Drosophila melanogaster: one gene and its partners. The protein of the gene in region 3 interacts with the protein of the main gene of each other region in a pairwise test. Each region holds a gene or a part of one and is shown on either strand. Other genes may lie near its edges. The genes, in order: CG31688, CG8128 and CkIIbeta2.

What was found.
Region 1: the proteins of CkIIbeta2 (region 3) and CG31688 interact in a two-hybrid assay, tested with the Drosophila melanogaster proteins (one large-scale study listed by BioGRID).
Region 2: the proteins of CkIIbeta2 (region 3) and CG8128 interact in a two-hybrid assay, tested with the Drosophila melanogaster proteins (one large-scale study listed by BioGRID).

Annotation. Positions count from the first base shown.
Region 1 is NT_033779.5:20,426,443-20,432,895, reverse strand, and holds the start of CG31688 (uncharacterized protein), read right to left. Parts: upstream 3,872-6,453; 5' UTR 3,735-3,871; intron 973-3,734; 5' UTR 396-972; coding exon 167-395; intron 1-166.
Region 2 is NC_004354.4:15,695,173-15,701,506, reverse strand, and holds CG8128 (uncharacterized protein), read right to left. Parts: upstream 4,014-6,334; 5' UTR 3,844-4,013; intron 3,475-3,843; exon of another isoform or gene 3,185-3,474; 5' UTR 2,987-3,184; coding exon 2,820-2,986; intron 2,748-2,819; coding exon 2,626-2,747; intron 2,346-2,625; coding exon 1,642-2,345; 3' UTR 1,473-1,641; downstream 1-1,472. Other genes in the region: CG9240 (uncharacterized protein), read left to right, coding at 420-518, 700-1,101.
Region 3 is NT_033778.4:20,286,692-20,291,644, forward strand, and holds CkIIbeta2 (casein kinase II beta2 subunit), read left to right. Parts: upstream 1-2,853; 5' UTR 2,854-2,987; coding exon 2,988-3,538; intron 3,539-3,632; coding exon 3,633-3,741; 3' UTR 3,742-3,859; downstream 3,860-4,953. Other genes in the region: CG16868 (uncharacterized protein), read right to left, coding at 1-43; CG34199 (uncharacterized protein), read left to right, coding at 936-947, 1,005-1,571; Cpr56F (cuticular protein 56F), read right to left, coding at 2,173-2,820. UniProt on the Drosophila melanogaster protein: Participates in Wnt signaling. Plays a complex role in regulating the basal catalytic activity of the alpha subunit.

The DNA of each region.
Region 1 (6,453 bases), on a different chromosome or scaffold from region 3:
AGGGCCGCCAGAAAAGTGCCAGGATATGCTAAATGGCCAAAGTGGAACCTTAGCAGCGAAAACTTGGTAACCGATATGATTTTGGAAGGAAGGCAGTGCCCCAAACATAATTAGCTCGAACATTTCGATAGCAATGAGGTAATAGAAAATCATTGAAATCACTCACTTTGCATGTGACATAATCCCACTGAGAAGTGCGCCAGCTCCGGCATCTGTCGGAGTATCTCCTCGGTGACCAGGTGGACGCCGCGGTGCTGCGGCCTCAGGTTGATCTTGCGCTGAAACCAGGCGGAGCCGATCTGCAGGCCCACGATTGCATTGCCATCCGCTCCGGCACCGGCGACAGCGCCACCTCCACCGCGTCCGCCGCCACCGCGATGGTTGGCAGAGGCCATGGTGCTGTTGGAGCTGCTGCTCCGGATGTTGCTGTTCCGGCTGACGCTCTGCTTGACCCCGCCTCCACCGCTGCCGCCGCCGCCGCCTCCTCCTCCGCCGGCGCTGCCAGCTCCACCGCTGCCACTGGTCGCTTTCGTTGTGCCGGCGTGTGGATTACCGCTGCTACTGCGACGTCGCTGGCCGCTTCGTCCGCCGCTCCTCTGGTGGCCTGGAGCAGTTCCTGATACCGCACCCGCTCCCGAACCTTGTCCCGATCCCGAACCTGCAGCGGCGGCAGCAGCAGCAGCGGCGGCGGCGGCTGTGGACGTCGATGGTTTTGTGGACGACGTTGTGGCTTCTCCGCTACCCGGACGCACTCACAGGCTCACGCTCACGCACACGCAGACGCACACTTGGCACACTTAAAGCACTGAGCACACTGGCAGGATTCAAGGACTCGAGGACGAACGCTCGACTCCCACAAGTTGTTGACTTTTGCACTGGTTTTCACACCGGATTGGATTTCACTTTTGGCCTTTCGACCTTTTTTCCGGCTTAATTTATTCTGTTATTGCCACTTGTATACGTTATCAGCAACTGCAAAACAAAAGAGAGAGAGATATATATAGAGAATTATTGGTTAGATATTGTACCATGGTATTGGACAGGTATCATCATACAATACTTATACTAAAGCACATAGCAGTTTACGAAAGAGAACTTAAATATATATATATATCTATTCTAAGTAGTTAAGCTATTTTAAGTACAGAAAAGGGTTGAAAAATCAAAATAAATAAGTGTGCAAGTCTTTGGCGAACAAGTGCTATTAATCATACACGGTTGTAAGTATCCAAGCGTTAATAAGCAACTAAATGGAAGTGGTCTTAGTGGTCTTTACTGACCAGTCAGCCCCAAGGGCGATCATCTCATCTCCCTAAACAACCTTTTATGGCTCCACAGACCATGGACTAGCTCACATAAATCAAATATTAGTGCTTGGGCGGCTGCTGCAGTTTGGCTGTGTGGAATCATCCCATATTGTGGGTAGTTGCCACTAGAGTACCACCACCCAGAGTACGAGCACTGGAGCGCCCACAATCAACAAGTTTTTAATTGCCAAGTGCAAACAGCAAACAAGATTGTTATGGTTATCAATGAGCCAGAGGTAGTAGAGGTGACCCTTCCAACATTTGGTCACGGGCCATAATAGCGTGCTTTGATTGTATTGCTCCAAATGGCTGGTTGATTTGGCTGGCATTTTGTACATTAAACAAAATGTGTATTTATGTAAGTTAATAATTTAAGCCAAAAGTAGAGAAGTATTTATGGTGAAAAACAACGAAGATATGATTTATTTTCTAATATTTTCAATTAATATTCCCACTCTTCCTATAGCAGCTATATGTTATATTCGTCCGATTTTAATCCAATTCATTTTTGATTTTTTCTTTTTATTTTTAAACAATTTTTGGTAAAGTTTCATTAAGATATTGTAGTTTTAAGAGGGAGAGACTTGATTGCGTTGAAACGGACGAACTTACGGACGGACAACAGATGGACATGCCTATATCCTGTTGATCAAGGATAAATGTAGCTAAATGTAGGCTTAAAAAATTCACCCTTTTGATTTTGGATCGTATAGCTTAAGCAAACTGTTGTTTCAAGGAACATCCGCAGAAGGAGTCGCACGGCAGCGACAGTCGGAAAGTGGAGTAAAATTTGAAGCGGCATAATGAGCACGTGTCGCCCAAGTGGGCCAAAAGGGGGCGGGGCAAGGGGCAGTTGGGTGGTTGGGTGTTTGGGCGGCTTTTGAGGGGTGACAAGGACATGGAACTGTTGGGCCGGGAAAGCGTTCGTGCGAAATGGAAACAGCAGCTAGGAAAAGACACGAGACGGCGCAGGATAGACAACCGTTGCATTACAGACACATGGCATCAAGGAAAACACTGTTTACGAATCCCTCTTCCTCCACACACACACACACTCACTCACACACACGCAGCTCCCAAGTTGAGTGCACTCACATAACGAAGCAATCGAAATGCATTTGAATCGGGGAAAACGGAGAAGGCGTGGAAAATGGGAGCACGGAGATGGAAGCCACAGCTGCTGCAAAGGAAAACCACGACGAGTGTGAGTGATTTCGGGTGTCGGCATTTGGGTAAGCAGTAAAACACTAAAAACGAGGAAGTGCAAAAAGAAAAGGCCCAGGCCCACAGACCCCCGAAAAAAGAAGGGTTACCCCTTACCACAAAAACGATTTGCACGACACTAAAGGCGCTGGAAGCCCGAAGAAAGGCCGCCAAATAGAGATGAGCCCCGGGCGAAGCTAAGTTGTTACCATATCGGGATTTGGCAGGCATTCTTCAGAATTTTTGTTAAAAGAATTGAAATTAGATTCCAGAGAAGACGGGTGGCATTGGTTGGTTCAGATGCCTTGATTTGTATTTACTTAAAATATAAACTGAAAAGAACAAGATTCGCAATCAAACTACCAGTTAAAATATATAACATATGGTTATTTTGATATTTAAGAATAAACTGTCTTAAATAGAAAGGGGTTTTAAATATAATATATTTGGAAAGAGATTAGTTCGCTCTCATCTCTGGCAGACCAAACAGGGAACTGGGAAACCGAAGGCGTGTCATCTGGTTCACAGCAGCAACTAAAACAACCACAACAACTACAGATACAGGAGGAGCCGAGGAAGAAGAACAAGAACCACGGGGGGGAGGGGGGATGCACGTTGAGGACGCGGCCAGGTAAAGGTCCTTTATTCCTTTTACGGGGCCACTGTTCAAATTTGCATATGCTTTAAATATTTAATGTAATTCAAAAAGAGGAGACAGCAGCGCCAACAAGAATCTGGCAATTGGACAAAGCCCGGCCGGGCATAATCCAATTGGACTGGAAAACAGAGCCCGCTCTCCCATTGGATTTCCCAACAAAAGGAAAGAAAGAACACATGAAGTCGTCGCGTTTTTTGGCAAAAAATCAATTCTCCACGTGATGGCCAAGCGCAGTTTTTTTGGCGATTTACAGAGCGGGAAAAGCGGGGCAAGCCGGGAGTGCTTCCCATTTGATCAACGCCTCAACCTCAACGCATTTCTGGCTTCGTTTTTGGGGCTGCTAATTATTGACATAACAAATGTGGTGGAGCTTCTACCACGCTCTCCGCACAAACACACGCGCAGCAACACAATGAATATTCCGATGACAGCACACGCGAAATTCCCTAAAACAAGAGGAGCGAGAACAGCCGCGATTTTGGGTAGCACGGGGTTTTCGGCGCTTTGTTGACAGGAAAATTGGGAATCGAAGCACGTAGGTATAAAACTTAAATGCACTTAATTACATTTAATTTGCGAGACTGCTGCGCTGCCTTTGTTGTATTTTACGACTGATTTCAACCGCATTCACTGACTTGTGGGGAGAGTAAACTTTATAGAGCCCACGACATCCGACGTCGAACACACAGCGCTGTCACTTTGGTTCGACGCGTTCGTTCGAGTTGGCACTGAACATCTGATTGGATCCCGAGGTGAAGTGTGCGAGGCAACGGCACGATGCTGCTCGTTTGGGTCGCCCGTAAGCGACGCTTGCGTTAGAGGAGCACAGATATAGGGTCCGTACCACGAAATTCACCTTCGCGCGCTTTTCACAATCTTTTCGGTATTTAATTTAAACATCGTAAGCCGTGCGGTATTTTTAATTAGCTAAAGTTTAGTAACGAAACTTAACAGCAAGCTAACTTCAATTAGGAAATATTTTTATATTCTCGTAAATGATTTCAGTTCCACAAATTGTTTCGATTTCAAAAATAATTTGCATCATATTGACTATAATTAAAAGAGTATGCATTTTCTTTTTTAATATTTTGTTTTTATGCCTTAACACACAATTTTTACAGTAATTATCTTCCTATGATGTGACGTCACGTCATACCCATACACACACGTTCTCCATTCGTGGACACCAACACAAGCGAAGAGTACATTCACGTTTTTCATTCAAACATTACTCGAACAGCCTTCTTGGTTCGACGCCACTCTGCGAAAAGTGCGAAATACAGAGAAAATTGCCCTAGACGCCTATTTTAAACTTGTTATTGCCGCAGAAATGTATTCCAAATTAAAGTGGATTCCATCAAAAATTAGTCGTAAAATTGCATGCTATTAAGCTAAGGTATAAGATCAAGTGAAAAATCCAGTGTTTGACTAGTGGAATTGTAAATTTATTTTTAATTTTAAAGTTCAGTTGCAAATTAAACGAATTGTTTAAAAGCATTTAACCATGAAAACGCTTATAATCAAGAGCAATACTTAAAAAACACATTATCTACACCAAAGTCCATTAGGCCAAATAAAATCGCATAGCATGTCCAACTTGAGTAGTAGTTTAATATTTTTAAGTAATCCCTAGTTGAAATCAGCATAGGTGGCATTATTGAACAGAATTAATGAAATATAAAATCTTTCACTTCTACTACTTAATTCTTTAGTTAAAACACATTATATACTATAACAATATAGAAGATTATTTCCATTTACAAAATCAGAAAGCTTAAGCAACAAAAAGGTACCACATTTTTCTAATTTACATTTAGGTTTAGTATTCTATTTTTAAGCCCACATATAAACTGTAATCAAGCACTTACAAATAAAAGAGTTGGATATTATATATTATATGCCTGGTTCTGCTGGTTAAACCGAACTTTGTTGGCCTTCTGATAAGCAAAAACCTATCGAAACTATCGTGGACTTTGCGATAATTTTGCAATGCATTTAAAATTCAAGAAAAATCAAAATAATGCAACTTAAATAATGGTAAATACTCAATAATTAGACCTCACGAGGAGGAAACCGCATTGCATGGCTAGCTACACCCCTTCGAAGCGCTACCAATCGAATATCGATTATTTGGCGGCGATAGGCGTGCAACGTTTGGCGGTCAAAACAAAAGCGCTCGTATGTGCATTCTATGGGTTTTGATTGGCTTTATGTTTGGCGTGTGTGGCTCGAACAAACGAAAAGCGGTGCTTACTTTGCTGATTTGGTGATTAATATTGATTTGTGGATAATATGCGTCTAATTGCAGTGGCGCTTGCAGGTAGGTGCTGGAGATTCTTGGACTTTGATCTTTGTCTGAATCTGTATCTGAATCTGAATCGCTATCTAAATCTGAATCTGAGTCAGATTTGTGGGGATTCACAGCGTGGGTGGGCGCGAAGTAGGCTGGTGGAGGTGCTGACGCTGCTGCTGCTGCCCGGGAATATAGCTATTGCCAACCCCGGATTCGCCGGAGTTGGTGCCGGAAGCGGAGACGGAATCGGTTATGGAATCGGTCTTGGAACTGGAGCCGGAGTCGAGATCTCTGGGCATTTTGGGGCCTAAGTTGTTGCCTTCCTCTTGCGGGCAAACAACGAAGTGGCAACAAAAACAAGAACTACGAATCGCCTCCGAATATAACGTCTGTCGTTACACTCGTTACTCGTATTCGTTTTCCTTTTCTTTTTCCTCTTTTTTTTATGTGGCCAATTCACAGAATGTACATTTTTTACACCTTTCACACACACCCACGCACTTTACGCACACGCTCGCACATTTTGGCCCGATTTTTCGCACACAGCAAGTTGAGCAATTTGTTGTACTTTCTGATTTATTTTATACGCGACTATTGGAGGTGCATATGCATATGCATATGCATATATGTATGTATGTATGTACATATAGGTTTTTACTCGACCCTCTTCGATTTTCGTTCAACAGATTTCTGATTGGGAATTTTTCAGCTGCACGACGTTACCGTTACCAAATGGGCGACTCCTCCCATTCGGAGCCACATGGGCACAGTTCTGCTGCATGGGGCACGCTTTTTTCACAGCTACACAGCGACTCCTTGCGAAGGGGCGTGTCGGGGTCTTCCGGGGGGCTGCGGGCCCAATTCTTATGGCCTTTCGCCTTGTCTCTGCCTCGTTTTTCAATAAAACTTCATGGCCCTATTACATATGTACTCCGCACACTCACACACACTCGGAACTGGCACTCACTAGCACACACACACTGGCACTGGCC
Region 2 (6,334 bases), on a different chromosome or scaffold from region 3:
AATCGTAAGTTAAAGAATGTAATTGGAGACCTGCATGAAATATATACGACAAATGGATGTTAGATGTATTTGAAACATTAACATATATGTACCATACATGCCAGGCCTGGCAGACTTAGTCAAAATTGAAAAGTGAAAATAAATATATGTGGTTCTATGCGCTAAATTTTAGTTTAACCTTTTGGGCCATCGATTTTTGAAATTTGCGCCACACAAAATTTATCGTTAGACATCAAAATTATCGTTGGCACATCCCTGGCTGGCCGCTCAGCTGCGCCGCCTGTGCAGCCCTGATTTTTACACAACATAAACATTCGATTTTGGAGGAGCTCTTTTTTCGAGAGAATACCAGGTCGTTGGACACGGGAGATGCTCTGATTAGGGGCGCATGTGGAGCAGCCAACGCCGGAATCGCCGACATGAAAATCCTCTCCCGTCTGGGTCGCCTGATGCGCTACACGGTGGCCTACGCGGCAATCACACACTGCACCTTCGAGTACATTGGCGATTTCGTCCTGGTAAGGCGTCTAGGATGAAGTTCCTGGGCGGGTATACTTGCCCAACATGTGCCAGCATCACATAGTTCGTGTGAATGCATTAAGGTACTCTCCACTTGTTTTTCCACCTTGTGTAACTTCCACTTGATATCCTTCTTTTGCGGAAAAGTACGTACACTCACATTAATGCAACCATTTCCAGTGCAAAGGACCCTCCATGGAGCCCACCCTGCACTCGGACAACGTTCTTCTCACCGAGCGCTTGTCGAAACACTGGCGAACCTACCAGCCCGGCGACATAGTCATCGCCATATCGCCCATCAAAGCCGATCAGTTCATTTGCAAGCGTATCGTGGCCGTTTCCGGTGATCAGGTGCTAATCCAGAAGCCCATTCCCATTGAGGCGGAGTTTAGTGGTAATTCGGATGACAAGAAGAAGCCCGTGATGGTCAAGGACTATGTGCCGCGCGGACACGTTTGGATTGAGGGTGACAACAAGGGAAACAGCTCGGATTCCCGCTACTACGGACCCATTCCGGTGGGCCTCATCCGGAGCCGCGTGCTCTGCCGCATCTGGCCGATATCCGAGGCCACGGGTCTATAGATGGCATTCGTACAACAAAGAGTTTAAAATCAACTTGACCCAATAAATGGCCTATGTTTCGTTTGGAAATTATAGTACATCAAACCACAACTTTTTAGAATCATTACGTATGCGAGTTTCGTCTCATTTGTGCGACTTCTGGTTTTTGCATATCATTGAAAATAAGTTGAAAAAAACAGGAGAGAATAATAATTTCTTTTCATTTTTGTTTTTAATAAACATATTTTTCAAAGTATGAAGCTTACATCCTTAATCCTTATTGGCTTACCTTCTAAGGAAGTATTTACCATGTTTGGGCGTCATATTCAAAATAATGCCATATTTTAAATTATTGGCGTTTCTAAAAATGGTATCAAAAGAAAAGCTTTTGTAAAAGGCTGTGTGAGCTTTAATTGATATATGCATATAATTATATACAAAAAAATTCATTTATTGACTACATTGTGAACATTTGAATGCGCAGTTGTGATGCTGCTGGCTTTTGGAAGAAAGGACTTTATAAAAATTGCACTAAGGATTTGGCCATTGCACCGACAAGTCTCACGAATTCTTTTTATCCTGCTGCTCCTGTGGCTGCTCCCGATCCACGTAATACAGATTGTATTTCTTCTTTAGCACCTGATGCACTTCGTCGCGACAGGTGAGGGTCAGGCCGCGCTTCTGGTAGTCCAAAAAGGTGCAGACGAACTGCCTGTTCGTCTCGTGGACCTGCGGATGCTTCAGATACTCCGCGATGGGCATCCACTGGATGCGCGCTATCTCGCGTTCGCAGCGCGTAAAGTCCAAATTCAGTGGCTTTAGGGCGATGACCACGTACATGTCGGAGCAGCCGAAGGTGCCGCCATGGGCATGCCGCAGACTGACCACTGAGCGGAATTCGGTGCGGATTCCCGTCTCCTCGGCCACCTCTCGTATTGCCGCATCGATGAGATTCTCCCGCGGCTCCACATAGCCGCCGGGCAGCTTCCAGCTGTTTGGTATCATTGCAAAACGATCGGACACCACCAGCACCTCGTCCTGTTCGTTGATAACCAGTCCGCCGACGCCCATTAGCGTGTGGGCGTAGGTGGGTAGGTTGCTAGACTCGTGCTCCGGCAACCAGCGGTACATGACCACCACACCGGTCTTGGCATGATGGAAATCAAAGCCGTTCTCCGCCAGAATGGGCACCCAATCAGCCTGCTCCTTGTACACGCGGAACCAAATGGCCCGGTTCTTGTTCGTCGTCCAAAAGTCCAGGGATTCTAAAAGGTATTTCGTTATTAATATAATTTGGTAATTGGTGACACAGATTTAATTAAAATTATAAGCCGTTTATTGTCTATGACTATTTATAGTCATAGACAACTTTTAAATTGATAAAAGTGGAGAGCAATGATTTTGGAAATTTAATTTAGTACCCCAACTTTAGATAGATAAACTTTTAATCAACTTATGATAGCACGAAGACTTAGAAGATACAATGATACAAAAAATATACGTCCAGGCAAAGATACCGACATATTTTAAGATATATATTCTTACTTGTGAGCTTGTCCCGGAAACTGGATTTGTCCACGTTCTCCTCGCGCCCATCGACTGTTACTCCGGCAAATCGATCCGTAATGCCGCGGAATACATCCGCCGGCGTGTCCATGGTTTTGGAGCTAAATCGTGGGATACAAATAGTTTTCAATCATGTGTTAAATACATATGTATGTACATCTTTCAATTCTTACGACGAGTATGCTCTTGTAAATTGCTGCTGTGACTGAAGCTTTAATGGAACTCTGGCGGCAACCGTGGATGTGGGTCGTTTTCTAGCGGTCCGGAGGAGTGTGCTCCATGAATTGAACGCCGGCTGGTTAAGTACGGTTCTGCGAGCCAGAAAACCGGTGGCCAACATTAAATAATCTCACAGTTCGACGAACACAACGTTGTTGATGACGACGACGGCGATCGACCACGTTGGCGTCACTACTAGTTCGCAACCGGAGATCTGGGTGCTGTCCGCTTGGTGGGCGTGGCGGAGGCGGTGGCGGCGACAACGACTTTACCGTCTCAGTTTATCCACAATGCGAGGTGAAGCCAATTCCTGGGCATGCTGTGTGTGTGTGTGAAACGAGGCAAACAGACAGGTGAAAGAGGTGAAATAGCCGCATGGCTCCAAACAACGATGCAAATCTGCTGCGATGGGCGGAGCAGAGCGAGACGGAGGAGCAGGTTGCCACTATCTGCCGCCGTCGCTAGATAAGCGATATGGCCGCTGTTACGTTCGGATTTCTGTTCTTGACATTTCGAATTTGGCGCTAACGTCAGTAACAAATAGTGGCGATAGAGATGCGCAGAACAGTGTGACTTTGACAGAAAACCGGTGACATGAGTATAATGAAACTAAAATATAGATTCAACTGAAAGTATCACTATATATGTACATATATATAAAAAACTGTGTTATCACTATACTAATACTAATACTAATATTAATGGCAATCACGATAGCAGTCACTGCTTCCTGCTCATCTCTAGCGCAACCTTGAGCGACAACCCAAGGTGCGTGTGGGTGGTGGGTGGCGGTGTTGGGGTGTGGGGTCGTTTCAATTGTTTCCGCATGGGTTTTGTGTTTGTTTATCAACTGAATTGCTGCTGTTATCAACGCGCCAGAGAATTGATACGCGTTTTACATAACAAACCAAGCCAAATATATTTTTTTTTATTCCATATCTGCGCTAGAATAGAACATTGTGTGGAACTCGAACTCACTAGAAAAGTCAATGGCTAATGGTGTCACTGAGCCAATCCGTCCAGTTCCTCCAGACGACTAATTACAGATCCGATCCAATGTAGCCATGGACTTTGGCATAAACAAGCGAATAGAGCAGCGCGCGATTTCAATTCGCTTCCACTTCCACTAGCACGTTAATTTCTAGGGATGGCGCGCACACAGAAAAGTCAGTCAGCTGATCCGGCAGTGCTGCCAGCCTGGCTAGAAAAAGCTGTTCAGCCTTATATGTAATGGTTAAAAATCAAATATGAGCAAACCAACATTTTTTAAATATATGGCCTCCGGAACAATTTATTAAATCTTGAAATAGCTAATATGGGTTATATAAGTTACTGGCTAGCGGCTTGGCTAATATATCGAATGTTTCCATCCTTTAGATGGCCAAAAGAGCTTAAGTTCGCTGGTCGTCGGCTTCGTTGCGGGAAAATTCGCTGCTGTCATCGCTATTTATCGCGCTCTTGGTATGCGTGCAGTCCTTCCTACAATAATATAGTAATAGTCACAGTCAATGCCAGGAAGGACAATGCTGCATAAGTAGTAGCATAAGTAATGATTAATTCAATTGGGAAATTTTTGATGAGTACGCAAAACATCTAACGCTATTCTAATAAGAAATGCGACCAGCTTTAGAATTAACATTCTGATTAGCAGAGGGTTGAAGTCGTTCTTAAAGACGGCTAAAAGTAGACTACAAAATATTTAAATGCAAGAGGAATTCAATAATCCTAGAACTTAAACTAAGCTTTTCAAATTTGAATGGAAATGTGGAATAAATACCGTATATGTAGCATTCGATGCCGATCTCCTAGTCTCTATCTCTAATCGGTTCGACGTGGCCACGTTCGGCCAGATGCAGCAGATCCTCGATGCCCTGCCTGCGGAGCATGCGGCGATGATTCTTGAAGAACGATATCACCTTCTTGGACTGTGGAGCCCGCATCCGTCTCTTGACCGTCATCGTTGGTCATCTTGGAGCTACTGTTCCATTTTTAATTTTTTCGCCTTTTTACTTTACTTGAATACGAAAAGAAACATATCTGTATAAATCGTTTTAATAGGCCAATAGGTGCCTTCAAATTCTATAGTTGAGATCCTTTGAAACTTTATTTTCATATATAACTAAATATCCTCTTTGGCTGCGCGCCCAGTTTGGCCCATTTCTCTCCTCTTCACTTATTTTATTTTATTTAATTTGATTTTTTTTTTTTGAAATCGAAATAGTTGCGCAATTGAGGGCGAGTCCTTTGTGCGAGTCCAGTGATTTGGAAAGGGCTATTTAGAGCAACAAAGCGCCAGCGACCAGGAATCCTGGGGAATCAGGAACCAGTTAGCAGTTTAGAGCGCGATTGAAGGGATTACGAGTAGAAAGGATCGTAAATGTGTTGCGAAATGCACATTTAAACCGTGACTCACCAGGGGGGTGGTAGTTGTGTGTGTGTGGGGGGGGGAGGTGTGTGTGTGTGTGTGTGGTGGTATGTCCTTGTGCCATAAATTCAGGTGCTTCAGTTGGACAACAATGGTACTCGTTGAGTTTCGCCTGATGTTTGTATTTTGATTGCCGGCTTAGCAATTTTCAATTTCTTTTTGTTTTTTGGGGGGGAAATTCCCAAAAAAAAAAAAATATGCGAAGAGGGAGTACATAAAAAAGTTACCCCTCTCCAGCGGGCGATATTTGCTCAGTTGTTTAAACAAATTTTCCGCTTAGGGTTGCTAACCAACCTCCTGTTTGCACACAATGGATTTCCATGCCGTGGCTTAAGTGAAAATGCCATCTCAAATATTTATTAAAAAATCTATGGCTGTTTGGGGACACGTACATATACACACATATATATATATATATATATCTATTTTCCATCGCCGGCTTATCGAAAACTTCAACTCCAATGTCGAAGTTGGTGGAAAATCGGGGTTATTAGGTTCCCAGGCGCGATCTTCGTCAACCCTTTTCTTTGTATTTCCTTCACTATTTTGCGCGCACCCGGAAAATTCTTGTTTGTAATTAGGGAGTTTTCCTTATCATTTATACCCGTAATGCCCTCGGCATTCAGCATTGTTTCGCCGCCAATTAAGCGTAATTTCAAGTGTCCCGTTCTCGTATTTGTCTAATAAAAGTTTGAAAAACTCCTAGGAAAACTGGTTGGGTTCGCTAACGAACTGTTTATATTCAGACAATGGTTTGGAAATTGAAATAAATTAACGTCGATTTTTCCCCATTTCCAGTCGGTGGGTGTGTGCCTTTGCCAGCTGAAGGCATCAGGTTTTTCTTTTTATTTTTTCTTTTTTTTTTGTCACAGTGCATAAGCTTTATTCGAATGAGTAAACGGGTAATGAGTAATATTTTTTTGTTGGATTTTTCACTGAAGGCGTGACAAGCGGAAAATTAACTACTATTAAGCCATTTTCACACCCCCTTCAGCCAGCGCATTTTCACGAAACTGTATAATCTATATGACTGGCTTAACTGGT
Region 3 (4,953 bases):
CCAGGATGAGCAGCACGGCGTTTAGGTTGCTGTTGGGCCACATGGTTTTTGTGGTTCCGGCGGACTCCGTGGCCACTGGGGCATACTATTGAATTTACCGCATATCTGGAAGACAATGAAATGTTAGCTTGAGTGGTTTCCTCTTAAGGAATTCTGTATTACCAGGTTCTTCTCGAGCTGCACGCTGATTTGTTTACGGAATTTCGTCACATAAATCTCGCTGATTCCTCGGTTTTAGGCATAGTAAGCACGTGTACATTGCCCACTGGCTCAGAGACAACAACTAATCAACATAAATACACTCTTATTCGTCCGATTAAGCTATTAAATTTAATAATTTTGTCAATGTTTTGCAGATTTTCTTAAAGTTCCACATGCGCAGTGTGACCGTATGTCGTAGATTATAGGGCAGCATGCGGAAGATACAAAAATGCACGACACAGCAGTGTGGCTGCATACGACTTTACAGTTAAAATGTGGTTACCCTAGAAATAACGTATTTTCGAAAATTGTAAATTGCTAAGCGTTTTATAAGTTGCATTTATTCAATATTCTTGAAATGCATACGCACTTAAATAAATAATAATTACATTGAAATGTATTCTTAGTTAGATTTTCTATAAATTATTTTGCAAATTAATGCTCTTATAACACTTTCACTTTTTATGTGCATCTAAAAGCAAAACCAAAGTTGAGCCTTTGCCAATTATTCGCTCATCCGTTGTCAAGGTTGTGTGCATTTGATTCTTTTTTATTTTTGTCGGCTGGATACGTGACTATGTAGTCCGAAGATGGAACAGATGCAGTCCAATTGGTGTCAGACGAACAAGGTGCGTGTCCGGCATGATAAATATTGCAATGGTTCCAATTGTTTAATATAAAAATGAGCAAATCCCAAATATTGCACCGCAGTTTCAATCGAGCCGTTCATTAAAATGGTGACAAAGGTATGATGTGGCTATTTAATAAACATTTTTACGTAAATCTTTTTGGCATTCCTAAAGTTGCTTCTACTGCTGCCATTTGTGGCCATTGTACAAGCTGAAGTGGATTTTACCGGTGGACGTATAGCACCTTATGCACCAACTGGTTGGCATCCGCAGATTCCATTCAACTTACCCAACGAGTATGTGCCTGCTATCCGATCAAGTCAGGGAGTAGAAATCACAAAGGCACGAGTGGACCAGTTCGATCCAGTGGAAAAGCCCCAGCCAAATTATTTGCCTCCAAATCAACTGGATATACCCGAGGAAGAGATTTTGCCCACCTCACGACCGTCCAACAAGTACGGTCCGGCAGATCCGAAATTTAAAATCATTTATCCTGATGATGAGGAGCCAGTTACTGCAAAAAATATCGTAGACAATCAGCAGCCCAAAATCAGAGAGGGACGTTACTTCGTCATTTCGCAGGACAATAAACTACAAAGAGTTTCTTTCAGCTCCCAGCAAAACGCAGATGCAGATGCAGATGATTTTACGGCTCAGTTGACTTACTCCACTGTGGGGCAACTCAAGGATCCTGTGTATCGATACAACAGACAGGGACAACTGGAGCGGGTCCTGAAGTAGGCAATTTGGATATAGCTATTTGAATATGTAAAATAGAGTTGTGCAATGTATTCAATTCTCAGAATGAATTATCTTGTTAATTATAAAAACAGTTTGGTTTTTCTTTTTGACTTTGTTTTATACAAAAATGCTTCTTTATTCATTTAATAATTATTAAATATACACAAAAATCTCATAAGTTCGTTTCACTTTCGAATTTCCATTTTCGTTTAAAAACTAAATACAATCCTTATGCATGTATGTATGAATGCGTAATGGTCATGTTGTGGGTGAATGGTGTGTTGGAGTGTGTGCGTAGACTAACACAAAATGAAGGCGCTTAAACAAAACAAAACGGCAAGGAGTTCCAGGTGTAGAGACGGAAAACAGGATAACGAACAGCAGTGAAACGGAAACGGAAAGGAACGCGCCTGTCTATGGCAAAATGGCGGGCGTCCCACTAAGGGTATGCACAGAGATGGGAATAGGGTTATATGGATAGACTGACTGCGATCGCTGGCCCACTGGCTGGATGTGCGTTTAATACTCGGCCAGCGATCCCATGAAGTAGACGAGTATAGTTGCGGGGTCGACCTAAATCGGGTATCCTCACTTCCCCATCTTAGTAGCCGTTGAATTTGCCCTGCTGCGCGTTGCTATCATAACCGCCACCGTTGCGACCATTGCCATTGCCGTTTCCGTTGCCATTGCCGACCTGCTCGTACCGAATGGTTGGGCGGTATCCATTCTGGTCGGCCTCGTACTCAACAATCTGTTTGCGTCCATCGGGCAGCAGGACGTAGTAGCGGCCCACAGCAAGATCACCATCGCGGGACTCCATGTGGCCGAAGTCATTGCCCGACTCGTAGTCCTGTACGTCGTACTTGAACTCGTACTTGGCCGGTCCATACTGCTCCTCATCCCGTTGTCCGTAGCCGTTGCCGTTGCCATTACCGCCGCCATAGCCGCCGTTTCCGTTTCCGTTTCCGCCCTTGAAGATGGCACCAGTCAGCGCTGGAGCACCATATTGACCCTGGGGAGGAGCGATGGGGGCGCCATAGCTGTTGCTGGGCGCTCCTCCATTGCCACCGGCCCGCTGGGGTGGCAAGTAGTTGCTCGACGGCGACTGGTAGCCCTGCGTGGGCGGCAGGTAGTTGTTGGACGGCGCCTGAGGCGACTGATTGGGGGGCAGGTACTGGTTCTGGGGAACTGGTGGTTCCGCATGGGTCCAGGCAGCCAGGCACACGAGCAGGGCAATGGATGTAAAAGCCTGGGAATGAAAATTCAGGGTTGCATTTACATTACAGTTTTCGTTTTGAGTTGACAACCCTTGATTGAACACTCCGTCCCTGACAGCTGTCATTCGAAATTAAATAAGTCCTATTGTTAAGCTCTCGTGATTTTGACTGATTAAATTAAAGCTTAAAAGAAGCAGCTATGACCGATTCGGACGAATCTTCCTGGATTCATTGGTTTTGCAAGCAGCGTGGCAACGAATTCTTTTGCGAGGTGGATGAGGAATATATCCAGGACAAGTTTAACCTTAACTTTCTTGATTCGAACGTTAAGAACTACAAATGTGCCTTGGAGGTGATCCTGGATCTTAATCCGGGTTCAGCTTCGGAAGACCCCGCTGAACCAGAACTGGAGGCTAGTGCAGAGAAACTGTATGGCTTGATCCATGCTCGCTTTATCCTAACCAACAGGGGCATCGAACTGATGTTGGACAAGTACAACAAGGGCGAATTCGGCACATGTCCACGTGCATTCTGCCATAGCCAGCCGGTGCTGCCCATTGGTTTGAGTGATAATCCTGGCGAGGATATGGTACGCATCTATTGCCCCAAGTGCAATGATGTGTACATTCCCAAGGCGTCGAGACATTCGAATCTGGATGGAGCCTTCTTTGGCACTGGATTCCCTCATATGTTCTTTATGGAGAAACCGGATGCTAGGCCCAAGCGGGCAAAGCAGAAGTTTGTGCCCAGGTTAGATCTTCCGTTTCCTGTGTTTCCTTCTATTTCCCTATGTTTTTAAGGTAGTTACTAATAATGTATAACTAATGTAACTATGTTTTCCCAGGCTTTATGGCTTTAAAATCCACCCCACGGCCTACCGTACTGCCGCTGAGATCCAAAAAGATGTGACAATGACGCCAGTAGGAGAAATCGATAGCCCATCCCACATTTGATCCTAAAGCTAAAATTTCTCATAAGCAACTGTCGCGTACTTCTCGAATAAGTGGGCACTGTTCGCCCGGCTGGCTGCCAGCTCATTAAACTCTCATAACAATAACTGCTCAGGCTGTGACCCGCTTGACAATCTTTTGTTTGGATTTGATGGCCTGCGAGCAGGCCCAGAATTGGCTTTGTCTTTCCCATCTTTACAGCATTTAGCTGAGGCATATGCAAATCTGTAGTAATTGGGTCCCAGGTGAAGCTCCCATCGGATTGGATTGGATTTAGCTGGGCTGCAAGTGAAGGGCTAATCTCGTGATCTTGCGCAATGCGTCTGAATCTTAAGTATTCGCCGTGTGGCGCGGACAACCTGTGGGAGAACCACTTCGGCTCACTCTTACACAACTTATTTCCGAATCTTGTGCAAAAGATCTTCTGGCCGAGTGTTTAGGCACAGGGCCGTCAATGACTTTCATGCTTCATTGGCGTTAAAATGCTATGCTTTTTGGCTGCGCTTTTGTCTGTATTTTTTTTTTATCGCCGCCTGGTCATCTCCAGACTGCCTTACTTGGGCATGTCCAGTAGTTCTTCTTCCGCCACTTAAAGTTTCTCTAATTTATTCATTGCAAAATGACCCCAAGCAGCGGCAGCTGTTGTTGCTTCTGTTTGTTACCCACACCCTAGAAATGAACTGGGATCGCTGGTTGCAATTGTTTCCCAGGCGAATGATATCGGTGTTCTAATTCCGCAACCTACCATAAAAAACAGTAGCTATCCTAAACAAATTGATGGTAATCTTAACTGCGATGATGATGGCAACTTATGAAATTTATTATGCGGATCTCCGCTTGATTAATCACCCAGCTGAACTTGACTTTTAATATGGCTCAAATATTAATATTTCATGTCTTTTCCTTCCGATTAGCTGATTAAGTGCTATGTGAGACAATGAAAGCTTCATTAGTTTGATGAGTTGTTTAATTGATTGATCGATCTATTGCCAAAAACGATTTTAAATGAGGGCTATTGATTGGATACAGAAAAATGAATACAAAATTCGAACATATTTTAGCACCTTTGCAATGCAGAAAAAGATATGGGCAAATATTGTGATGTTTATTTGATCATTCTAAGATTTTGTAACCCAACGTTGTTTGTATGTTAGCTACAGCAAACTTCAATATCCTTTGAAAATTTAACAAAAGGTCGAAACTGTATCTAATAAA